4 linked regions of the Drosophila melanogaster genome follow. Changing the gene in region 4 together with the main gene of any one other region gives a genetic interaction. Each region holds a gene or a part of one and is shown on either strand. Other genes may lie near its edges.

Evidence for each region.
Region 1: of Rap1 (region 4) and mys, changing one suppresses a phenotype caused by changing the other (phenotypic suppression), as found in Drosophila melanogaster (one study listed by BioGRID).
Region 2: of Rap1 (region 4) and Epac, changing one suppresses a phenotype caused by changing the other (phenotypic suppression), as found in Drosophila melanogaster (one study listed by BioGRID).
Region 3: of Rap1 (region 4) and C3G, changing one suppresses a phenotype caused by changing the other (phenotypic suppression), as found in Drosophila melanogaster (one study listed by BioGRID).

Annotation. Positions count from the first base shown.
Region 1 is NC_004354.4:8,059,558-8,064,932, forward strand, and holds the start of mys (myospheroid), read left to right. Parts: upstream 1-2,087; 5' UTR 2,088-2,168; exon of another isoform or gene 2,169-2,523; intron 2,524-4,282; 5' UTR 4,283-4,400; coding exon 4,401-4,902; intron 4,903-4,975; coding exon 4,976-5,204; intron 5,205-5,375. UniProt on the Drosophila melanogaster protein: Integrin alpha-PS1/beta-PS is a receptor for laminin. Integrin alpha-PS2/beta-PS is a receptor for Tig, wb and Ten-m. Contributes to endodermal integrity and adhesion between the midgut epithelium and the surrounding visceral muscle.
Region 2 is NT_033778.4:6,795,673-6,800,783, reverse strand, and holds the start of Epac (exchange protein directly activated by cAMP), read left to right. Parts: upstream 1-1,842; 5' UTR 1,843-2,014; intron 2,015-3,371; 5' UTR 3,372-3,843; coding exon 3,844-3,878; intron 3,879-5,111.
Region 3 is NC_004354.4:6,787,546-6,792,772, reverse strand, and holds the start of C3G (C3G guanyl-nucleotide exchange factor), read left to right. Parts: upstream 1-1,737; 5' UTR 1,738-2,550; coding exon 2,551-3,061; intron 3,062-3,721; coding exon 3,722-4,312; intron 4,313-4,379; coding exon 4,380-4,570; intron 4,571-4,647; coding exon 4,648-5,183; intron 5,184-5,227. UniProt on the Drosophila melanogaster protein: Guanine nucleotide-releasing protein that binds to SH3 domain of Crk. Transduces signals from Crk to activate RAS. Also involved in MAPK activation.
Region 4 is NT_037436.4:1,858,486-1,864,490, reverse strand, and holds Rap1 (Rap1 GTPase), read left to right. Parts: upstream 1-2,251; 5' UTR 2,252-2,430; exon of another isoform or gene 2,431-2,561; intron 2,562-2,674; exon of another isoform or gene 2,675-2,814; 5' UTR 2,815-3,279; coding exon 3,280-3,834; 3' UTR 3,835-5,376; downstream 5,377-6,005. Other genes in the region: HBS1, read left to right, coding at 1-1,458. UniProt on the Drosophila melanogaster protein: Ras proteins bind GDP/GTP and possess intrinsic GTPase activity. Plays a role in photoreceptor cell determination.

The sequences.
Region 1 (5,375 bases), on a different chromosome or scaffold from region 4:
TCAGTTATTGCACAGTTAAATTGTAAATAAACATGGAATGCATCGTTTTCCCAGGCCACGGGGAAAAAAGGGTTGTTGCGGCAGTTGAATAAATCCGGGGAAAAGCAGCTGTCGTGTCGAAATTTCCCTCCATTTTGCCGGGTTGCTGACCCCTAAGCAAATACTCGAAAACTAGCAGAAAATGCAAAGTGTCCTTGGGGCAAACCGAAGAGGCGCGCTCTTGTGTCGTTTTCCACTGTGCGAAGGTGGGCGGCTAGTGGTGGAGGAGGCGGGGGTAAACGCCACGTGCGCTGCACTTTTTAAACTTACTTTTCCTTTGGATTTTATCGTTCTTCTTTTCTTTTTGTTGTTTCGTTAAATCCACTCGTTCTGTTACTGTTTATTCGCTATTATGGGCGAATATATGTATATATCCGAATGACTTTTGATTTTGGCTTTGTTTATGGCCGCGCTGCCGCTGGATGTTGATTTTGTCTTAGCCAAGTTTAGCTTGTCGGTTTTGTTTGTTGTTGTTGCTGAATTGCGTTGTTGCTATTGTTGCTGAATTTTGAATTGAACATATACAACATACAGATTGTACACGATTGTTAAAAAGTTGCAACTGTAAAAATAAAAACAAAAAATATTGGTCACATCGGGCACTATTTTTTTTCTCGAGATTTTTGGATTTGCGCGCGCCAGAGAATGAGTGTGGCGTAAAGAGAGGGAGAAAGAGTAAAATCCCCAGCGACAAATGTAACGTAACCCACAACGTAAGCGTCTTCTGTACGTCACCACGCTACGTAGGCCACGTAACGGTATGCTAACGTTACCGACGGCGCCGCAAAACCGCAAAATCAAAAAATACAATAACAAAATCGACAAAATTATAGATTTTCAATGTGCACGTCGGTTTCTTTTTGCTAGCGAAAATCAACTAGCGCTAGTATATTTTGCTTTTGTTTTTTCTCATTTCGAGTGAAACTTTTCGCGCGCTTCTGCGTGTGTATTCCTCTTTTTTCGTTTTTTCTTCTTTTATTTGTTAATATTATTCACTTGGTGACTACACACGTTCATGCTCATGCCCCCTCACTCGACACACACACGCACACACACTGACGAACGTTTCTGCTTCTTGCTCCTCTTTCGTTCGCTTTTGTTCCACCACCGAAAAAAATGAAAAAAAAAATTTGTCATGTCCATTGAAGTCTCACATTTTTCAAATGCATTTTTTGGCGCTAAAATCTTATAAATTTCAACATTTTTCCATTCGCATCTGATCCCCCGCAATTAGCACTCCACTTCGAACACAAATTTATATAATTTTTGCCATTTTTTACCACAATTTTTAGTAATTTCTACACACCGATATATACGTACGCGCTACGATTTTTCGACAAACGCGCGAGTTTCTTCTGAGTCGCCATCAAATATACAAAATTTTTTTTCGAAATTACTGAAAATGCGAATACACACGCACACATGGACAGCCGACGGGCACGAGGCGCACGCGCTTGGTACATGCGGCTATGCCGCTCTAACGCACTGCTTTTATTGATAAATCGAGAGCGGGACAGCTAGAGCTACCGGCCGAGAGAGAGCATGTGAGAAGAGCGTTCTGTGCGAGTGTGTGTGATAGAGAGAGCCAGAGAGCAAAGTAGTCACACATACTCTCGCAAACTCATAGTGGCTTTCGTTCTCTCCTTTTCTCAACCATTTGCACGTACTTTTAGCTTTTTCATATGGCTATTTGGGAAATTCACCAGCAGTTTACACTTATGCTGTTGTTAGTTTTAATCCATTTATACTGGTAGAACGTAGATTCGTCGGCTACTTTACATTAATTTCGTAACGTAAGCGCAACAAAAACAAGGCTGTCATCGATATAAGCAGGCGTTTTTGTCTGAAACTATCGTGCAATAAGTGACTCCGATAACCAGAGTTCCTTTACGTGTTTCTCGATTACTTATCGGATTGTGTTTGCGAGCACAAATGTCTCTTTTAGCGGAGACACAGTCCTCCAAAACTGTGCAACACTGTTCCTAGGCTCGGTGTGACCAGAGCTATTTAACAACACTGGCGAACATCGGATGGCAAATATCGAAAGAACATTGACTGTTGTTCCACCCCCTGCTGACACCATCTGGTAACACTGAACAACAGACCAGATCCGCGGACAAAGCAAAGCAGTAAATATTAATTTAATCCAAATCCAATTCCCGACACCAATTGGCGGCCTTCAGCTGCTGCTTCTGCAGTCGAATTGTATTTTTTTTTTTGGTTTTTCGTGTCACCCGATAAGAGTTAAATTCGCTGATCTAGCGAATAACGGTGGCAAGTAATTGTAATAACTGCGTGTGTGCACAGTGCTAGTGTTTAGTGTGCGAGTGTGTGCGTGTGAGTGGGAACTCCACAAGTGTGCGAGAAGGCAAATCAAAATAAGAAAAGTGCCGCCCTGATGGAAATTAATATCGCGAATTATCAGCGAAAACGCAGCGAAAGTTAAGCCAAAGTGCTGCGATTAATCAGATAGCGGGTGAAATAGTGGGTATTACGTAAGAAATCAATGGATTCCGGGCTGCATTTGCCCAAAAAAAGAGGAAGCAATATCGAAGCGCTACTTTTATCTCCTCTTTTTTCGATGATTTCATTCGCAGTGACGACACACAGGCACGCACACACCGAACGCCGTATCTGTGTGTGGGTTGTTTGTTGAGCTAAAAAAAATAATGAATCCTCACGATACATTCACTCGTTTCATTTTTTTTGTTATTATTATTCATCATATTTATTTATTTCTTTGAGTGTGCATATCGGCGACTTCGCGACGCCAATTGCTGATTACGCCCCCTCCCTTTTCAGTGCAACTTCCCCACCCCGGAGATCTTGCACTCGAACTAAAAATCGAGTAGAGTACGTAGGCAGAAGCGAAAAGAGCGTACAAAAATCAAGAGCTCAGTGGCAGCAGCAGGAATTTGTGTTTGTCAGGGGATTGCCCAGATTTTCGGGGTAATTGTCCACTTTATAAACAGCCAACCGAATTTGAAACCAACTGTAACTGGAAGTAAAAACCAATTTTACCAAAGCTATCAAAAAAAAAACAATAAAAAAAATGAAATCCTCTGCGCGCCGCTGGTTTAACCAGTACGCCCACATGTGGGCGGCCCAGATGTGCCTCGTTTTTGGCCCAATGGCTGTGGGCGTCCATCCGTGGTTGAAACTATGCGCTGCAGATGCTGTTTACTCAGGCGGTTTATAGTATTACGAATTTGCTAGCTAAAAAACTGATTAAAACTACTACTAAGTGCACAACTCATAACTTTGATATGCTGTGACTGGGTGTATAAATGATAATCGAATGAAATTATTCAATCCAAGGGTATATAAACATGGGCTTAGTCGTTTTTAGTTTGTTTTCCTTTCGGCACACGATCTGCTGCAAATCAAGCTCTGTGGTGTGTTAGTGTTCGTTGTGTTGTGTGTGCGTGGGCGTTTAAAAATAGCCGACCAACACAACACCCATACGTATACGTAATCTGCAGCCCTTTTTTTTCCGTTCCGTGCATATGGAATTTTGATTTGAGTCTTGAGTGGCTTGGAGTGAGTGATTCATGTGGCTTTAGGCGGAAAGGAAACCCAGCGAAGCTGACTCAATGACCACTCATTGTTCGTTCGGCCTTTGTTTACATTTTGCCAGGAGCCAAGAGAGCGAGAGAGCGTGCTAACGGAACGTGCTCGAATGAGTAATTCGCATTGCATTTGACGTTTATCGAAAGCTCTCTTCCTTCCGCTTTTTTCCTTTTCTTTTCGGAGGCCAACAAAAAAAAACAACAAAAGCACGCAGGCACGCACACCCACACACAAGTTCGTACATCAATCGCTTGGTGTGTGTGTGTGTTTGTGAGATGAGTCATCTGGCCAAGTTGATGAGAAAATAAAATTAAACATTAAGGTAGAGCGAAAGAAACAACAAAAAAAGGGGACAGATGTGCGGCCATTTGCTGTTGTTTGTTGTTGCAATAAAGAAAAAAGCAGGGCACGCGGAGAAAGCAGTGCTCGACAAGCAGTGCAGTCAGCAGCTGGACTTTTACGTACACCGGCGTTCGTAAAAATTGCAGCGAAATCGAAGAAATCAAATTGTGTCTTAAAAATAAATGAAAGATTAAGGCATATAAAAAAAAATAATATAAAATATGTAGCATTAGAAATATAAGTGAACCAGGAATGGCTTTTATAATAATTTCTGCCCCTTACTTAACATCTAGTGCTAAATCCAACAATTTTAATTCACTTACCATTGCAGCCGGCGCACAGAAGCGACAGAGACAGAGCACACACAGCACCTGGCACATCCAAGGATATCCGATCCTCCTGCATCCCGAATCATCCACAACCTGCACCAACCGCTAACCGCCAAAGCCATGATCCTCGAGAGAAACCGGAGGTGCCAGCTGGCCCTCCTCATGATCGCAATACTGGCCGCCATCGCTGGACAAACGGATGCCCAGAAGGCGGCCAAACTGACGGCAGTGAGCACATGTGCATCGAAGGAAAAGTGTCACACCTGCATCCAGACAGAGGGTTGCGCCTGGTGCATGCAGCCGGACTTTAAGGGCCAGTCGCGGTGCTACCAAAACACCAGCTCACTGTGTCCGGAGGAGTTCGCCTACAGTCCGATAACAGTTGAGCAGATTCTAGTGAACAACAAACTAACGAATCAATACAAAGCTGAACTGGCGGCTGGTGGCGGCGGCTCCGCCATGTCCGGCAGCAGCTCAAGCTCCTACTCGTCGAGTTCGAGCTCGTCGAGCTTCTACTCGCAGAGCTCCTCGGGATCCAGTTCCGCCAGCGGATACGAAGAGTACTCTGCCGGCGAAATTGTCCAAATCCAACCGCAGTCCATGCGACTCGCATTGCGCGTCAGTGAGTAGCAAACGATTGCATCATCCATGTGACCTACAAACTAATCCCTTACTTGCTTATCAATACACCTTAGATGAGAAACACAACATCAAGATTAGCTATTCCCAGGCGGAGGGATATCCGGTGGATCTCTACTACTTGATGGATCTCTCCAAATCTATGGAGGACGACAAGGCCAAATTGTCTACGCTGGGCGACAAGTTGTCCGAGACCATGAAACGCATCACCAACAATTTCCATCTTGGTTTCGGTTCGTTTGTGGACAAGGTGCTCATGCCCTATGTCTCGACCATTCCCAAAAAGTGAGTATGACCTACATAAATGTGAAGGAAAACCATGAATTGGAAATAGTTCTACAAATTTTGCTGATTGAAGATGATGCCAGATGCCGTCAGTTGATGGTGCATTTCTTTAAGGCCTATTAAATTATTGTATTTATATATTATATTATACAGCGTATTTGACTTGTTAAA
Region 2 (5,111 bases), on a different chromosome or scaffold from region 4:
GCAAAGCGGCCGTTAAATTCTTGGAATTTCATTCCGCATTGGCAAGCCCGAAAAAATGTCTATGGTGGTCCTGTCAACATGGGGGAGGCTCATAAAAAATGCGACAGGCAGACCCCATGAAAAACCAAAAAAAAAAAAAAACCCTGCAACACAGGGAAAGTAGTCTTCCACTTTTATTACGTCAGTTCTATTTAGTGCTATACCGTTATTGTTAATTATGTCTAATTATATTAGTAGAAGTAATTCATCTTTGCACTTATCCTATGCTACACCCGTTTGTGTATAATGAAATACCTATCTAGGAATACCAGACTACGATCCACCTTAACTATTTTTCTTTCTGTGCATTAACAGCTGGGGGAAAAAGCCAAGAATTTATATGCGCTGGGGCAGCCTGTGGAGCTGGAACCGAAACTGGGAATGATTCATGCGGAAATAAAGGCACTCGAGAGTGCCGTAAATATTGTGGTGGCGACCACAACAACAGCGGCTCTGGGAAAGGTGGAAAACAAAAGGAAAGCTTTGCATTTTCGCACCTTTTCAGGAGCGAACACGACTGAATCGCCGTTGATTCATTAGCTGAATGTGACAAGCCGTCAGTGAATGTCCAAGTGTCCAAGTGACCAAAAGTCCGGGTGTTCACGCACTCGCTCCGTAAATTCTGTCCGTTGTTTCGTGTCCGCTGCTGGTGTGCATTATTTAATTGACATGTTGATTGTTTCGCATTGCGATTCCATTTTATGTGCACTTTCAGGCGAGGGTGTGAGGCAGTTCCGCCCGGGGCGCGGTGCGGGGTTGTCCGCTGTTCGCCCGACGGCCGAGCGGACGGACAAGTGCCTGTTGAAGAGCTGGTCAACTGCGACGACTCACCAAAATAACGCTCAACAGTTTGTTGTGGAGCACGTAGAATAGGAGAGCGAGCAGCAAATGTTGCTAAACATTCGAGTGAATAGAGTCAAAACAAATTGTTATTTCAAGTAGACTAGGCAAGCAATATTATTCGTAATACAACATATCAGATTCGATTAACTTTTCATCTTTAAAGCCCAATACACAATCTATATTTTTTTTTTTTTTATATTTATTTATTTAGAAGCGATGAATCCATACAATGCAGTAACAGTAACATAACAGCGCAATTAACATATAAAAGATAAAACCAAACCTCTCACTAATCATGTGAGGACTTAAGACAATCTATACTAATAAGCAATAAGCAAGTAAGTAAAACAAATAAATCAAACAAGAACATAAATTTATATGTTAAATGCTATATCATTATAGCCATCTTTATACAAATTGTATCTCTTTGCTGATTATCGTATATAAGTGTAGGCAGTAAATGAATAAGAATAATATTTAAATTAAATTAATATTAAGTTTAAAATCGTAAAAGAATAGTAGAAATCCATTCATATCACAAAATAATGGGATTCAAATTATAATAAATATTATAACAAAAGTAGTATAATTTCAAACACTATAAGCAAAGAAACTGTATTTAATTAGAACTACTTTGAAATTACGTTTTTTCGTGTGCCAAATTTTATTTGGATTTTGACCACACCGATTTGGATGTAAGCCCACTGTGCCGAAGATTTGTCAAACTTGTTGCTAAAAAACGCGCCAAAATATGTGAGTGACGGAAAGGGACGGCGGGAAGGCGGAACAAGGCCAAAAGTACCGCACCGCAGCCGTCAACACTGCAGTCATCGGCAATGAGTAACTTCCAACAACCCACCACGACCCCCAATCTCCGCCGGGAAACCCACCTGCGAGGCGCAGGACAGGAGCGTGGTGAAGAGCGCCGCTCGGAAGTCGGAAAATGGAAGGCGGCCGAGCAGTTGCGACGCGACTACCAAATGAATCGGACGCGATAGCGCTTCAGCGGAGGTCGAGAACTGAAATGTTTGCCCAAGAACTGTATATACCAAGTGCTTGAAAGCCGTTAGCAAGTGGTTCATTTAAATATTCGTTTGAAGTCGGTTCGATTTCAGGTATTCGCTGGATTTCGGTATGTCGCGTGGGTTCGAAACTAAAAGTTCATTTTCCGTGCCAAAAAGTGTTTGCCAACAAGAAGGACTTTAAAATATCGAATTCTGCTGCGGGATCTCTGTTACTCTTGCATCTTCTGATCCTTTTCTCCGTTCAGAGGATGCGTGAGTATTCGATTCATGATGTTTCTTCGCCACATGACCAAGCTAAATGGCTAAGTTTTCCGTTTGGCAACGGCTGCAGTGGGCAGTTAAATCACATCTATTGTGGTTCAAAGTTTTGCTTTCACTCGGTTGCTTAATTAAAACAAAGTTTGAAACCCTAAAGTGGAAATTACATGGAACATCTGTTTCCAGGGCGATTTCAAAGCTTGTTCAATTCAATTCCCTAACCGCCACTCCGGACACTAATTGCATTTGCTGGCAGGATGGACAACTCGTTCGAAAGTGGCCGCTTATCGAGTCGTCCACTCGGAATATCGCCAATATCAGTCTTATCGCCCCCGGGACTTTTGTCGCCATTTATGTACGTGGAGCCAGCCAGCGAGCGAACGACACGTCAGAAAACGTGGCATACATTCGGGCGCCTTCGCGGGCTGGCCACGATGGCGAATACTTAATTATTCATATGCGAGCTGATGGTCCTTCGCGATGTCTTTCCTTTTGAGCCGTCACTCGAACACTTGTTCCGCCTGCAGTTCCATTTCGCTGACGAAAGCCACTGCACTTCTGATGGGGTGGTATAAATTATGTTTTTTCCCATTGACGCAGAACAAAATACGCATTCGTTTGCGGTACAGATACAGATAGTGCAGCGCATGGGTAAACATGGAGTTCGGTAACGAATTCGCGGTTAGATCGTGCCTTCGCATGCCATACGATCTGGATTTGGGCATACTGGGAAATTAGAATGCCCATTGACAGCGCATTAAGTATACGCCGTGTGTGTGGAGTAATCTATTGTTATCTGGAAATCTATTGTTAGATTTGTGCGCCAACAGTTTGTTGGTGCTCCGCCCTCACCGCTCTCCTGCACCACAACACCCCCTCGCCGGCCGAGCAGGCATCAAAGCTTATTCATAACATTTGCTTTTGTTGGCGACACAGATACCCACAAGCACACACAAGCACACACACACTGACGCAGTGGGGCCTTCTGGGCAGCTATCAGCAGTTGGGAAAACCCTTTTTGGCAAGTCCAACAATAGCAATTCACATTAGTTATGTGGCTGAAAAAATCGGAAAGAGGGAAACTTTTACATCTGCTGCTGGCATTTTATATAAATTATATTAGAGTCCGACATCCCAAGGCTAGCTTACACTTACGACTGCTGTATAGTGAATTTAGACTCACATTCGCCCAATTTAACTTTGCAGCTGCTCGGTATCGAAATCCTCGTCGCCAGCCAAACGGGAGCTCAAACTGAAATCCATTTCCAAACTTTCGCCTAATCAACGAGCTACGTCCACTTACCCCTGGCTCCAACTCGAAAGGAGCTCGCTCCAACGCTCCCAAAAGCGGATTTCGAGTGCCTCGCTGGGCCGAGCCACCTGGCATGTCGTATTCAAAGGGAATCGCAGATTGACGGCCACATCGCGGATTGAGGTGACTGCAAACTGGGTGCGAGCGCCGCCATTACTCGGTATTTTGATTTCGCTTTCCTGGGCCGCAACGGGCAATTAATTTGCACCACTTTGGAGCCGCTCCGCCTCGATTTATGTGCTCTGCTCAAAGTTGGGGCAACTATTTGGTTTGGTGTTTGTGGAATGTGCTGTTCATAACTTGTATCATAACTTGTGTCAAACGGCGAAACTAATCGAGCGAGGGAGATTTAAATAAAAATTCAACATGGCGATGGAATGGATAACTGCAATGGACAAACGGTAAGTGATTTTTTAATGAGCTGCACAATTAATGAGCAGCGATTTTGGGGAACTTTTCTTTAAATTCTAAGTTTTTAGCTCCAAAAGTTTCCTTAGCTGAAACGGAATGCTTTCTCTTAAATTTAAGGCATTTCCCAGCTGAGTGCACAAGTTTCTTTCCTCTGTTTTCCCGGAGCAGACACGTACTCACACATCGACGTACGTGTAAGTTGAATGAAAAGCTCGACGTGGAGTACAAACAAAACGAGAACGAGAAGCGAAACATTTTAAAATGTTGCCGTCATGCTCGACATTCATTTGTCAAGAACCAACATCGGGGTGCCCCATCCTCCTCCATCCTTGATGGCTGGCAAATGGCCAATCCATCCACTTTGTGGACACGGCCTGCCACGAATTATCCGCTTTATTAAATCTCGATATCAATTCTCCGTAACTCAATGAGCCGCCTTCTGCACAGCAATTATTTCATCATTCCTGATTTGGACACCGAACAAAGGAAAATAAAAACAGGACTTTAATCATGACATTCATATCTTTCTTGTGAATTGAAATGCAAAATAAATGTAATTGTAGTTCGCTATAAATAAACCAACCCATTTAATGATACTACTCTTAAAATACAATTTATATTATGATAAAGCATTAAAGTAATTTACCATTCATTTCATGAGCTATGCCTGAAAAGTGTTTTCTGTCGTGCAAAAATAATAATTAAACCGCTGTAAAAGTATAAAAATACTATAATTTAATTGAAAATATATATATTTCTGCTGAAAGCTCCGCATTTCAGAGGTTTTAATGCACATACATTTTTTACGTAAATATGTGCTTTGCAATTGGATGGAGTTTAGTCTTGTGCAAACATTATTTTAGTGGAATAAAACAGAGGCACGGGACTATTGTTTTTTTTTTTTAGTTGATGTCAGACTTTATACTTTCCATTTAAGAGAGCGGTTTCATTTTATCTGGACACCACAGTATTTATCTTTTCACAGCCAACATAATAACATTACCCTTATCTAAATTAATGAAAAAGCTCATATGTGAGATGGAGTATCTCTCCTGATGACATGCTATTTCTAAAGCATTTACTATTGCAACAGTCAACAGAATAGTCAGCATTCTAAAGCATTTACTATTGCATCAATCAACAGAATAGTCAGCATTTAGCGTGTAAAATATTTATATACAATTACGGAATAACCAAATTTATTTTAGTGTGTGCGCAGTACT
Region 3 (5,227 bases), on a different chromosome or scaffold from region 4:
ATTGGGTGAACGTGACTGCTGCTGCTCCCTAGTGCTGCCATCTCGTACTGGAGGAGTGGGTGGTGGCTGACCGAGTGCCCGAAAACAAAGCCCATTTCGGGCACTGGGTCAAAAACTGAAATTTTTTCGCAATTGCTAGTTCCCGGAAATTAATGTAAAGCATTGCCCGCTCTTTGTTTTTTACAATTCTCCAGAATGTTATTCGATTTTAATTAACAGTTTTTATTGGAATTCAAAGCTAATTTTGTTGAAACAACTAGCACTACTAGGCATGACTAGTTTTAAATTCATAGAAAGTCGAAGCTCGTTTAAGGTCCTATTAGAGAGGCAACGAACTACGACGACCTTGATATTCGAACTTTTCACTGGACGCAGGCAAGCTTTATTCTATTTTAATTGAGCCATTGGCTAGGATTTCAACTTGGCCTTAACCTTAAGCCAAGGATTCAGTTCCACCCTTTGGCCATTACCCATTACAAGGATGGCCTTTCTTTTTGGCCGCTAACCCGATCCACTTGGGTTGTTTTTTTCCTGCTTTCCATATACATTTCAGTTAGTGGGGGCTTATTGACTTGCTCTCTTGTTTTGTTGTAAGCTTTTGCTTGAGATATATAGTTTTTTATATATTTTTTTTATATTTATTTTCTTATTTATTTTCTTGCTTGCTGTACTCACTTTTGGCGACGCCTTCGATTTTCGCCCATTTGCGCAGCAGCTAGTTGATTTCCAAGGCAAGTCACGAGCGGCACTTGCAAATTGAAGAAATCCGCCCGGCGTCTTCTTGTCTCTTGCCCCGCATCCACCTCACCCCCCCCCCTTTACCACTCCCTTGTCGCCCCCAATTACCGCCCCCTCACCCTTCGCCACGGGCTCTTTCTCAGGTGCGCCAGCTGATTGATAATTGGGCGGAGAGGCCGACGGTTGGAGAGCAGCCTCCCGGGTGAAAAGAGCCGCAAACCGCGGACTGCACTGCGAGAAAGGGGGGTGTACCTGCAAGTATAAACAGTAAAGTAACTTGTCATTTTAAAATAGAAATATTATCGTAAATATATACTGAATATTTGCACGATTTCCGAGCCACATTGAATGGATACGTTTGTAGCACCCGTTTGGTCCATCAGTGATGTGAACATGTATGATTTGTTTGATGAATCTCGGAAAGAGAAAGAGCGATGTGGCGAGAGCAGCAGGAGAGATCAGGAGAGATGGTGAGAGGGCGATTGCCAGGTGGGCAAGTGCCATTTGGGGCTCTTTTTTTTTTTTGCCCCCTCGGCGGCTCTCGTGTTGCTGCTGCTGCTGCTGCTGCGTCTGTTGTTGCTGCTATTGCTGTATTGCTATATTGCTAATGTGTTGCCATTGCCGTTGGCCGGTTAGCGGGTCTCCAAGACTCGGACACTCGCTTTTGCCGCCTGGTCGGTCTTTCAGTCGGTCGGTCGTCTTTGGCTTTGCCCGTTTTGCGGATTTTCATAGTTCAGTGCGCTTTCCAGTCGACAACGACAACATCGCGAACGGACTACGACGACAGCCGCCGCAGCAGCAGCAGCAGAGCGCCAGTGTCTAAATATAATCATCTTTATTTGTGATTTATTTAATCAACATCTCCTCACCCAGAGGCCAACCAGATAGATAGCCCACTGCGGGGGCGGTGCGCCAACGAGATGGATGGATGGATGGATGATGAAAAATCAAAGAAAAGAGCGCCAAATTGCACTTGAAAAGTGAAAGAAATTGCACTGAGAGTGGCAGGCCAAAAGTGTTAGCTTATCGCTTATCGGCGATTGAATCAATCAGCCGAAGCCTGTTGAAATTTCAAGTTCAGAAATGCAAAAGTGACTGTGCGGCGAATGGAAAGCTATTGGGGAAAATTGCGGAAATCGCACTTGAAATATAAGTAAAGCAAAAGACAAGTGGCTTTGGAGTTGATTACCTTCAATTTACCACAATCGGGCAGGCAGTAAGAAACGGAAATTAGGGCTTGATGGCTTTTAAACATTAAAGAAAATAATATACGGAAATCACTATGGCCAATTGAAGTGATCTCTAAGCTGGCATACTTGTATTTCAGTCAAACAAAGAGTGTCCAGAACAATTCTTGCGGTTGCCACAGGAAGCTTGAATCGGTAATCGCTTGAATTGCCTATCGGACTATCGAACGAATTGCAAAAGTGAACGAACATGATGAGAAAGCAATTGAAATCTACTTCCTGCTGGCAGAGCACATCGGATATAGCTTTTATCAGTGCTTAAAACTTTTTCCGAAAACACTGAAACAACCGAAAACTGAAAGTGAAATAATCAATGTAAAACATGCCGAAACAGAAAAATGAATTGATGTTGTAATCGCGACGGCAATCGCTTAAATCAACAATCTTATACGAAAACGATGTTGCTGCTATCGCTTATCGCTATTTGGAGAAATCAGTTAGGCCAACGTGTGTGTCTTTTGGCCAAGCATATTTAAGCCACAACAAATTGTTGTTATGCGTGTTGCTGTCGCTGTTGCTGCTGTTGTTATTGCTGCTGCTGCTGCTGCTGTCATTATGCAACATTATGCCGCAGTTTGATGAATCTTTTTTGAGCGACTGTGCGCTCGCCGACCGCTGGCATTTCTATTCGTACACGGTCAAGCAATTGCCGCCACATCCGAGTCCGAAACCGAATCGGAATCGGAATCCGTATCCCAGCGGTGCCAGCCACGATGACCATCAGCACCAACTCCATCATCATCATCATCAACAGCACCATCACAATCATCATCGTCTTTGGAAGACTCAGCGGCAGTCGTGGTCGCCGCGCGACACCAACAACAATCATAGCCTCACAAGCAACAACTGCAACTGCAACAGCAGTAACACCTGCAACAGCATCAGTGCCACCGGCAACACGTTGCATAGCATCAAATTCCACAGACGTCGCAAATACAAAAAGCTGGCACGATTGGCGCTATCAACGCCAGCGATTCCACTGCAGATGGATGTGGATGTCGATGTGAATGTGACCGTGGATAGGGAGTTCGATATGGAGATGGACACACCTGTGCCGCTCAAGAATGCGGTGTGCCGTAAGTGAAAGCTACTCGCCGGTCTTTTCGCTTGGTGGGTGGTGCTCATCGGTTTCTCGCTGTTTTGGATCTTTAAAAAAGTTCCGAAACTAAAATGTTTGGGCTCGCATGAACGATTCCCGAAATGGGGAATGCTAGGAATTCCGTATTACATATGTTGATTTCAATTGCAATTATTTCACATTTAAGTAGACACGTTTCAAGATTCGAATGAGTACATATGTACATATATTGTGTTGTGAAGGGGTAATGATGAATCTTTTCAAGATTCCTCAAGCTGTTTGGCTAACTCTGAAAGATTTTCATTTTCGCTGCTGGCTTAGCCACTTTAGAATGATGTATACGATGACCTTAAGATATTCATCTTACCTAACCAAATGAAGAAAAGTAAGAAACGAAACGATACCAACATTGCCATATATTGCAAAAGATTGTGGTTTTATATGGAGCAACTTTTGATTTTCAAATTGGCATTCAAGAATGCGGCTCGAACAGGAAAGACTCTAAGCCCATGATATGTGTATATATATAGGATCTAGATTCCAGTCTTAGTCTCTTATTATTGTTACCCAAAAACGTATATTGTTATCTAATGCCTATGAATTGATTAAGTGTACCTACCTTAGATTAATAATCCCCGATTTCTTGCTCTTTTTGCAGACGGCAGCATCAGTTCTCCATCCACGCCCGGCACCTGTTCCAGTGGCATCGGAGTGGGCGGTGGCGGCTGCAGCAGCAGCAGCAACAATAGCATCAACAGCGGCAGCTACTCCACCGCCTGCACTCCGCCACCACCCACGCATCAGCATCACTCGCAGCACCAGCAGCTGCAGGGCACGCCGGGAGGATCTAGTCGGGTAGGGGGAGCAGGAGCAGGCGGAGGTGGTGGTGTACCACCGGCACCACCCAGTGCCGGATCCTCGGGCCACAAGAACAGTCTCAAGGGCACCAAGCTAGCGCGCCGGGCGCGTTCCTTTAAGGACGACCTCATCGAGAAGATTTCCCTGATGCGAACCACCAACAATACACTGGGTCGCTCCCACTCGCCGCACAGTCCGCGCACCAAGCACGGCACAAAGGCACCGCCCACCACCGAGGAGGTGCTACGGTCCACCCAAACCCTGGAGACGCACGTCAAGGACATTTCGAATGCCCTGAAGCACTTCCGGGATGTTATACTCAAGAAGAAGCTGGAGGTGTTGCCGGGCAACGGAACGGTCATTCTGGAAACCATAGCCAGCATGTACTCCGGTGAGTATCTACTACCCCAATTTCCTCGTTTTGTAATTAATCCAGTTGCTTTCCTTTGCTGCCGCAGTGATCCAAACCTATACCCTGAATGAAAACAGTGCCATCATGAGCAGCGCCACGCTGCAGGTTTACCAGAGCCTGGGCAAGCTCATCAAGCTCTGCGACGAGGTGATGCTCTCCGAGGACAGCGGCGAGTGCGCCTCCCTGAGCAACGAGAATGTGCGGGAAGTCATTGATCTTCTCGAGGATGCTGTGCGGGTAAGTCCAATTAACACTAACCTAGTACACAGTGTATTGCTATAATAAATACGATGATGTTTCATGATCGTGCACAGAATCTCGTTACGCTGGCGCAGGGCAAGCTGAAGGAGCAGGATCAGTGCGCCTTTCGCTACAGTGGATCTGGCTTGGGCGGCATTGGAGCGGCGGCGGAGATCATGGGTGCGGTCACCGCCTCGCCGGGAGCGAGTGTTCCCGGTACTGGAGTCATGCGCGTTTCGGCCGCCGAATCAGCTGCCCAGCGTACTTCGTTGCCGGACATAGCGCTCACGCCCAAGGAGCGCGACATACTGGAGCAGCACAATGTGAACCCGATGCGCGGCTCCCACAGCACCGAAAGTATCCTGCGCGACACGAGTCCACCGCCGAAGCCACCGCTACCCAATAGGGCCAGTAATCCGCCGCCGTTGCCACCAAAGCGACGCAGCCAGCCGAGCGCATCAGCTGGTACAGTGGGCGTAGGCTGCTCATCGTCGACATCCACCTCCAATCAGGCCAGTCCACTGCCCTACGCCCAGTCCCATAATATTAGTCTGAACTCGGACCTGGACTGCAGTTCCAATATCTCGCTGCTGAATTATGGCGTGGATCGGTAAGTGGCTTGCAGATTAAAGCAATCACTAGCAATCACTACAA
Region 4 (6,005 bases):
TTCGAAATACCCTCGCCCAAGGTGCCCTCATCGCCTGTGGTCTCGGGCAGAAACACACCCGTTGACATTAGCGCCGGCGACGACATCTCCCGTAGCTCAGCAACCGTTTTCAAGGTCTCCAAGGAACAGGCCGTGCGCAATGCCCGCCAGCTGTACGAGAAGGAGCGAGCCGACCAGAAGAGCCACATTCACATGATTGTCATTGGTCACGTCGACGCCGGGAAGAGTACGCTGATGGGCCATCTACTGTACGACACCGGCAACGTTTCGCAGCGAGTGATGCACAAGCACGAGCAGGAGTCCAAGAAGCTGGGCAAGCAGAGCTTCATGTATGCCTGGGTGCTGGACGAGACGGGCGAGGAGCGGGCCCGCGGCATCACCATGGACGTGGGCCAGTCGCGTATCGAAACCAAGACCAAGATCGTCACACTGCTGGATGCTCCGGGGCACAAGGACTTCATTCCGAACATGATCTCCGGTGCCACACAGGCGGATGTTGCCCTTCTGGTGGTGGATGCTACAAGGGGAGAGTTTGAATCCGGCTTTGAGCTCGGCGGACAGACTAGAGAGCACGCCATTCTAGTGCGATCCCTGGGGGTTAACCAGCTAGGCGTGGTCATCAACAAGCTGGACACCGTTGGCTGGTCCCAGGACCGATTCACAGAGATTGTGACCAAGCTAAAGTCCTTCCTCAAACTGGCGGGCTTCAAGGATTCCGATGTGAGTTTTACGCCCTGTTCCGGACTAACCGGCGAGAACCTCACCAAGAAAGCCCAGGAACCCGCCCTGACCAACTGGTACAGTGGACGCCACCTCCTCGATGTCATTGAGAACTTCAAGATCCCCGAAAGAGCCATCGACAGACCGCTGCGAATGTCCGTGTCGGACATTTACAAGGGCACTGGCTCCGGATTCTGCATCTCGGGACGAGTGGAAACCGGAGTGCTGTGCCTGAACGACAAGGTGCTGGTGGGTGCCAGCCGGGAGCAGGCCCAAGTGAAATCCCTTACCATGAACGAATTCCCACAGACTTGCGTGTTCGCCGGCGATCAGGTCTCCGTCACCCTGCCCGCCTTGGACATCAACAACGTCACCGTGGGCTGCATCATCAGCGATCCACAAACCCCTATTCCGGTGACAACGCGATTCCAGGCCCGCATAATCGTGTTCAACGTCAAGGTGCCCATTACCATGGGCTTCCCCGTGCTGCTGCACCACCAATCCCTAATAGAGCCCGCCGTGGTCTGCAAGCTGACCGCATCGATTCACAAGAGCACCGGCGAGGTGGTCAAGAAGAAGCCGCGTTGCCTGGGCAACAACTCGTGTGCCCTAGTGGAACTGGAAACCAGCAGACCCATCTGCATCGAGCGGTATGCGGACTTCAAGGAGCTGGGACGCGTGATGCTTCGCGTGGCGGGAGTCACCATTGCCGCCGGAATGGTCACCAAGATCCGCTAGGTCGATGACCGCGCTGGATTTTGTACGAAATTTTAGTTAGATATTAACTTTTGTTGATTTCCTAAATATACATAGTTTATATGAATTGATTAAATCGAAAAGACGCTGAAGCATTGGAAGAGATTTCGGTCTGACCATTTTAGCGGTATCTTAAAGTGGAGTGTGTTTTTCATGGAATTAATCACTTTAAGAAATTATTATATTTATTATCATTGAATTAATCATAAGGAATATAATTACAATTTATACATAAATTGCAATATCACGTTTTTGGAATATTATGACCCCTACAATAATATTCCAAAAACGTGATATTGCAATTTTTGTATAAATTGTAATTATTTTCCTTATGATAAATTCTATGATTCAAAACTGTATCTCGAAAATGTGAATATGCGGCTGACTAAAATTCTGAATGCGAATCATATTGCTGATTCATGAAACAATCAAGCATTAGAATTTTTTCTTAAACTATCGGCAACACAGCTTATATATTATTTGCAAATTATGCTTAAAAAATAAAATAGGAATACCATAAAATATCACTTACTGTAGAAAACAATTTCAATATGAAATCGTATTAACAAAATTAAAATTAAAAAAAAATATATAGGGAAAATAACAATTTAAATATTTCCAAAATTTGATGTGCTAATATAAATTTAAAAGAATCAAATATATTTCGAATATAAATTTTATAGTTTATTTTTAAAATTTACAGCAATGCTTTAAAAGTGTCATCGCTAAGCCATTGCGATAGTCGTGCGTAGCCCTCGGCCTGCGAGTGCCGATAGTGCCATCGATGCTTTGGCAGCCCTAGTCTTTGAGTGTTCGCTGTTCGCTGAGGGCGAAAAAGTAAAGAAATTACAAGGCAAACTAGTGTTAAATTAAAAGTGAAGCGATTCGCGAGCGGCGACAGGTGAAGCGGTCCCCAAGGAGCAAGCAGTTGGCGGCAGCGAGTGAAAAGCATAGGTAAAACTCCGCCCAGAGTTGCCCTGCCGCCCGACATGCGGGTGCATTTGCGTGGTTCAGTTGTTTAGTGGCCGTTCGGTAGGCCGATGTACGCACATGGGTGCCCAGTGTGCAATTTAAGTGCATTTTAAGTGAGAGAGCTGAGTGAAATTTAAGGGAATCTCCGGCTTGAGGCGTTGCAGTGGGGCGCTGCGTTCGGTGCGGCCGCCTGGCAACCCTGAAAATGAATCATTAGAGCGAGAACGAGAACGAGAGAGTTGTGAAGAAGAAAAGAGGGAGTGCAGTCAGTTCTCAGCATACCAAAAAACGCAAACCAAAAAGACTCGCAAAGAATTTAGCGTTTATTGTGTCTAAAAAGCGCCTTTCTTCTTACTCCCCCCACAGTGTGCTCTCGGTAGCAGTGACGGCCGTCTCGAGGAACAGTCAAGCCAGGATATTTCCGCTCAAAAAAGCAACAATTGAACGCACGCAACTCGGCGGAAGGAGCGAGCGAGAGAGGGAGCACAAACACCATCACACATTCACACACACTAACACACACACACTCACGCAGTCACTTACACGGCACAAAGGTTATCAACAGCAAAAGCAACAACAACAAACAATTTACTTTAAATATAAAACATATATTAACTAATAAGCAAGAGCAACAAAAAAAAACAAAAACAAAAAACAACTGCAACCGACAAGCAATCGCCGAACAACGCCTAAAAACAAGTGATTTTCGAGGGAGAGCCACCTGGAAAGTGAACCCACCTACCTGGCCTACCTGCATTTTGGGTCTCTTCCCTAGAATTTAGCACAAAACAAGAGATATACGAAGGATATACAAACAGCACAGCAGCCAGCATGCGTGAGTACAAAATCGTGGTCCTTGGAAGCGGCGGCGTGGGCAAATCCGCGCTGACAGTCCAGTTTGTCCAGTGCATCTTCGTGGAGAAGTACGATCCCACCATCGAGGACAGTTACAGGAAGCAGGTGGAGGTGGACGGACAGCAGTGCATGCTGGAGATCCTGGACACGGCGGGTACGGAGCAGTTCACGGCCATGCGGGATTTGTACATGAAGAACGGCCAGGGATTCGTGCTGGTCTACTCGATCACGGCGCAATCGACGTTTAACGATCTGCAGGACCTGCGCGAGCAGATACTCCGGGTGAAGGACACGGACGATGTGCCCATGGTGCTCGTGGGCAACAAGTGCGACCTCGAAGAGGAGCGCGTCGTCGGCAAGGAGCTGGGCAAGAACCTGGCCACCCAGTTCAACTGCGCCTTCATGGAGACCTCAGCCAAAGCCAAAGTGAATGTGAACGATATTTTCTACGACCTGGTCCGGCAGATCAACAAGAAGTCGCCCGAGAAGAAACAGAAGAAGCCGAAAAAGTCCCTATGTGTTCTGCTATAAGACTTCCAAAAACCACCAAAACTAAAAAAACAAAAAAAAAAATATATAACAGAGGAGGAGGAGAGAGGAGCAAAAGTATAAGCGTAAAGTAAAGAATTTTCAAATTTTTTTCGTTCTCGTTTCGTTTTGGATCCGATGGCAATTGTCGAATTGAAATAACCAATCTACTATATACAAGCAAAACTTAAACTGACAAATGTTTTTAACTGTTTCAAGTTTTTGTAATTATTACCATTTACTACTATTATGATTGTACTATTTTTCGCTGATTAACCATTAATTCATATGGGGAATTATTATATATATATATCTACATATTTAAATATATTTGTCGTTCGTTTTTGAGCCGTTTTTTAAATTATGCAACAAGTGAAACATTCGTAAACTAAAACATTCGTATTTATTGATTCTTTTCGATTGTACTCTACACATCTACAACTACAACTACTTATACACGCGAAAGCCCAACCAACAACAAGTATATCTTTAAATAGAACCGAAAACAACATTCGAAACACAAATCAAATTAAGCTAAACTAAATTGTACGCCTAAAAGATAAAGATAACAAATTCCACGAGAGAAATGAGCAAATAAATCGAGAAAGGAAATGAATCATGAATAAGGAACATATTTTATAAAAATATTGTATGCAAATGATGTCAAAATGTTGCAAACAACCAGAAGTAATGAGCCCCCTCCCCCTTAGAAATTAGTTTAAAACAAATTTACAATTAATTGTTTACCACGATCAGTTGCATCAAATCTGAACCCCCCCCCCCAAACACACACATACCAGCCACATCCCACACACACACACACACATTCGCAACCAGAACTCACACACACAAACACACCTACACATTTCCGGCGCGCTCTCAGAGAGCGAAAAAGCTACACGAAAACGGAAGCGGAATCGAGACAAGAGGCTCCTGCGGCCAAGGCTCATTTCCGCTTCCTGGTAAAAAGAAGAGGAGCAGGAAGTGCAGAGAGAGCCACAAATTCTAGAATATTTAATACATAAGAAATGGTTTAACACAAACTAAACTGTCGTGTCAATCCCAAAATGAAAAGAAACCTAAAAACGAAGTAATTTACAAATATTTCATAATAAACATTGCATAAACTTCGCGTACGAGTAGTAACCAATATGCCCTTAAATCAAAGTCTAAACACAGCCAACAACCAACATTAAAAGTAAACTAAATAAAACCTAAGCCCAAGCGTATATATTAAATATATGATAAAGATACAAATCATTTTTGAACATAATAAACAACAAACAAACCAACCGTTACAATAACATAATGTAATAATGAGCGTGTGAAAAATGTAATTGAAAAACCATTTTTTCGAACTTGTTTCCCTACTGGTCGCGTTTTTGGGACCCCACACAGAGCCTCTGATCTCAGAATCCTGGCAGTCCCGAATTCGCGACGCAGTAGGTCGACATGATCGAGCATCTTTTAATTATTAATAAATGTATTATGTTTATAAAAAATTAAAAAGGAAATGCAAAAACAAAATAAAAATTAAATAAATTCATTTGTGGAGCGTATGCCTTATTCTTAGCATAGTTCATTCAGAAGTTAAAGACAAGACGATTGCATTGAAGTTTTGAAATATCTGTATTTGATACTTGGAATAGTTATATAAGGTTGTTATTCAAATATTTATACATATACAATTACAATCAAATAGCTCGTCTTTATAATTATAATATTCTGCTAGTTTATAGCACGCATGTTAATCCAGCGTAAGATCTGCGATAGGATCGATTCGGAGTTAAGTTGGGGCGTAGGAGTAGTAAAACCGCATTGTATCCACAGCTGATATGGTATGCAAGTTCCGAGAGATTCGCGGGTTGAGATATACAATCATAATGCATGCTTTTCGTAGAAGCCGGCGAATCGCTCGCCAGCAGTTAAAATGTAGAAAGTGAATTTTAAGACAGAGTTACGTGGTAGTTTCTATTACTGTACAATAAGTGGCTCGAGTTCCGCTTCATGACTAGGTTTTGGGCTAAGCAAAGTGCTATACTGGGGGACTCGCCTCCGATTCCTGGTGTGATGCTTGTTAATTAACGCTTTTTATAATCAGTCGAACGTGTGAGTGAGTGTGGCTTTCTAGCAATCTCTAGCAATCGCGGCTTAAAAGAGGCCGCCTTAGTATC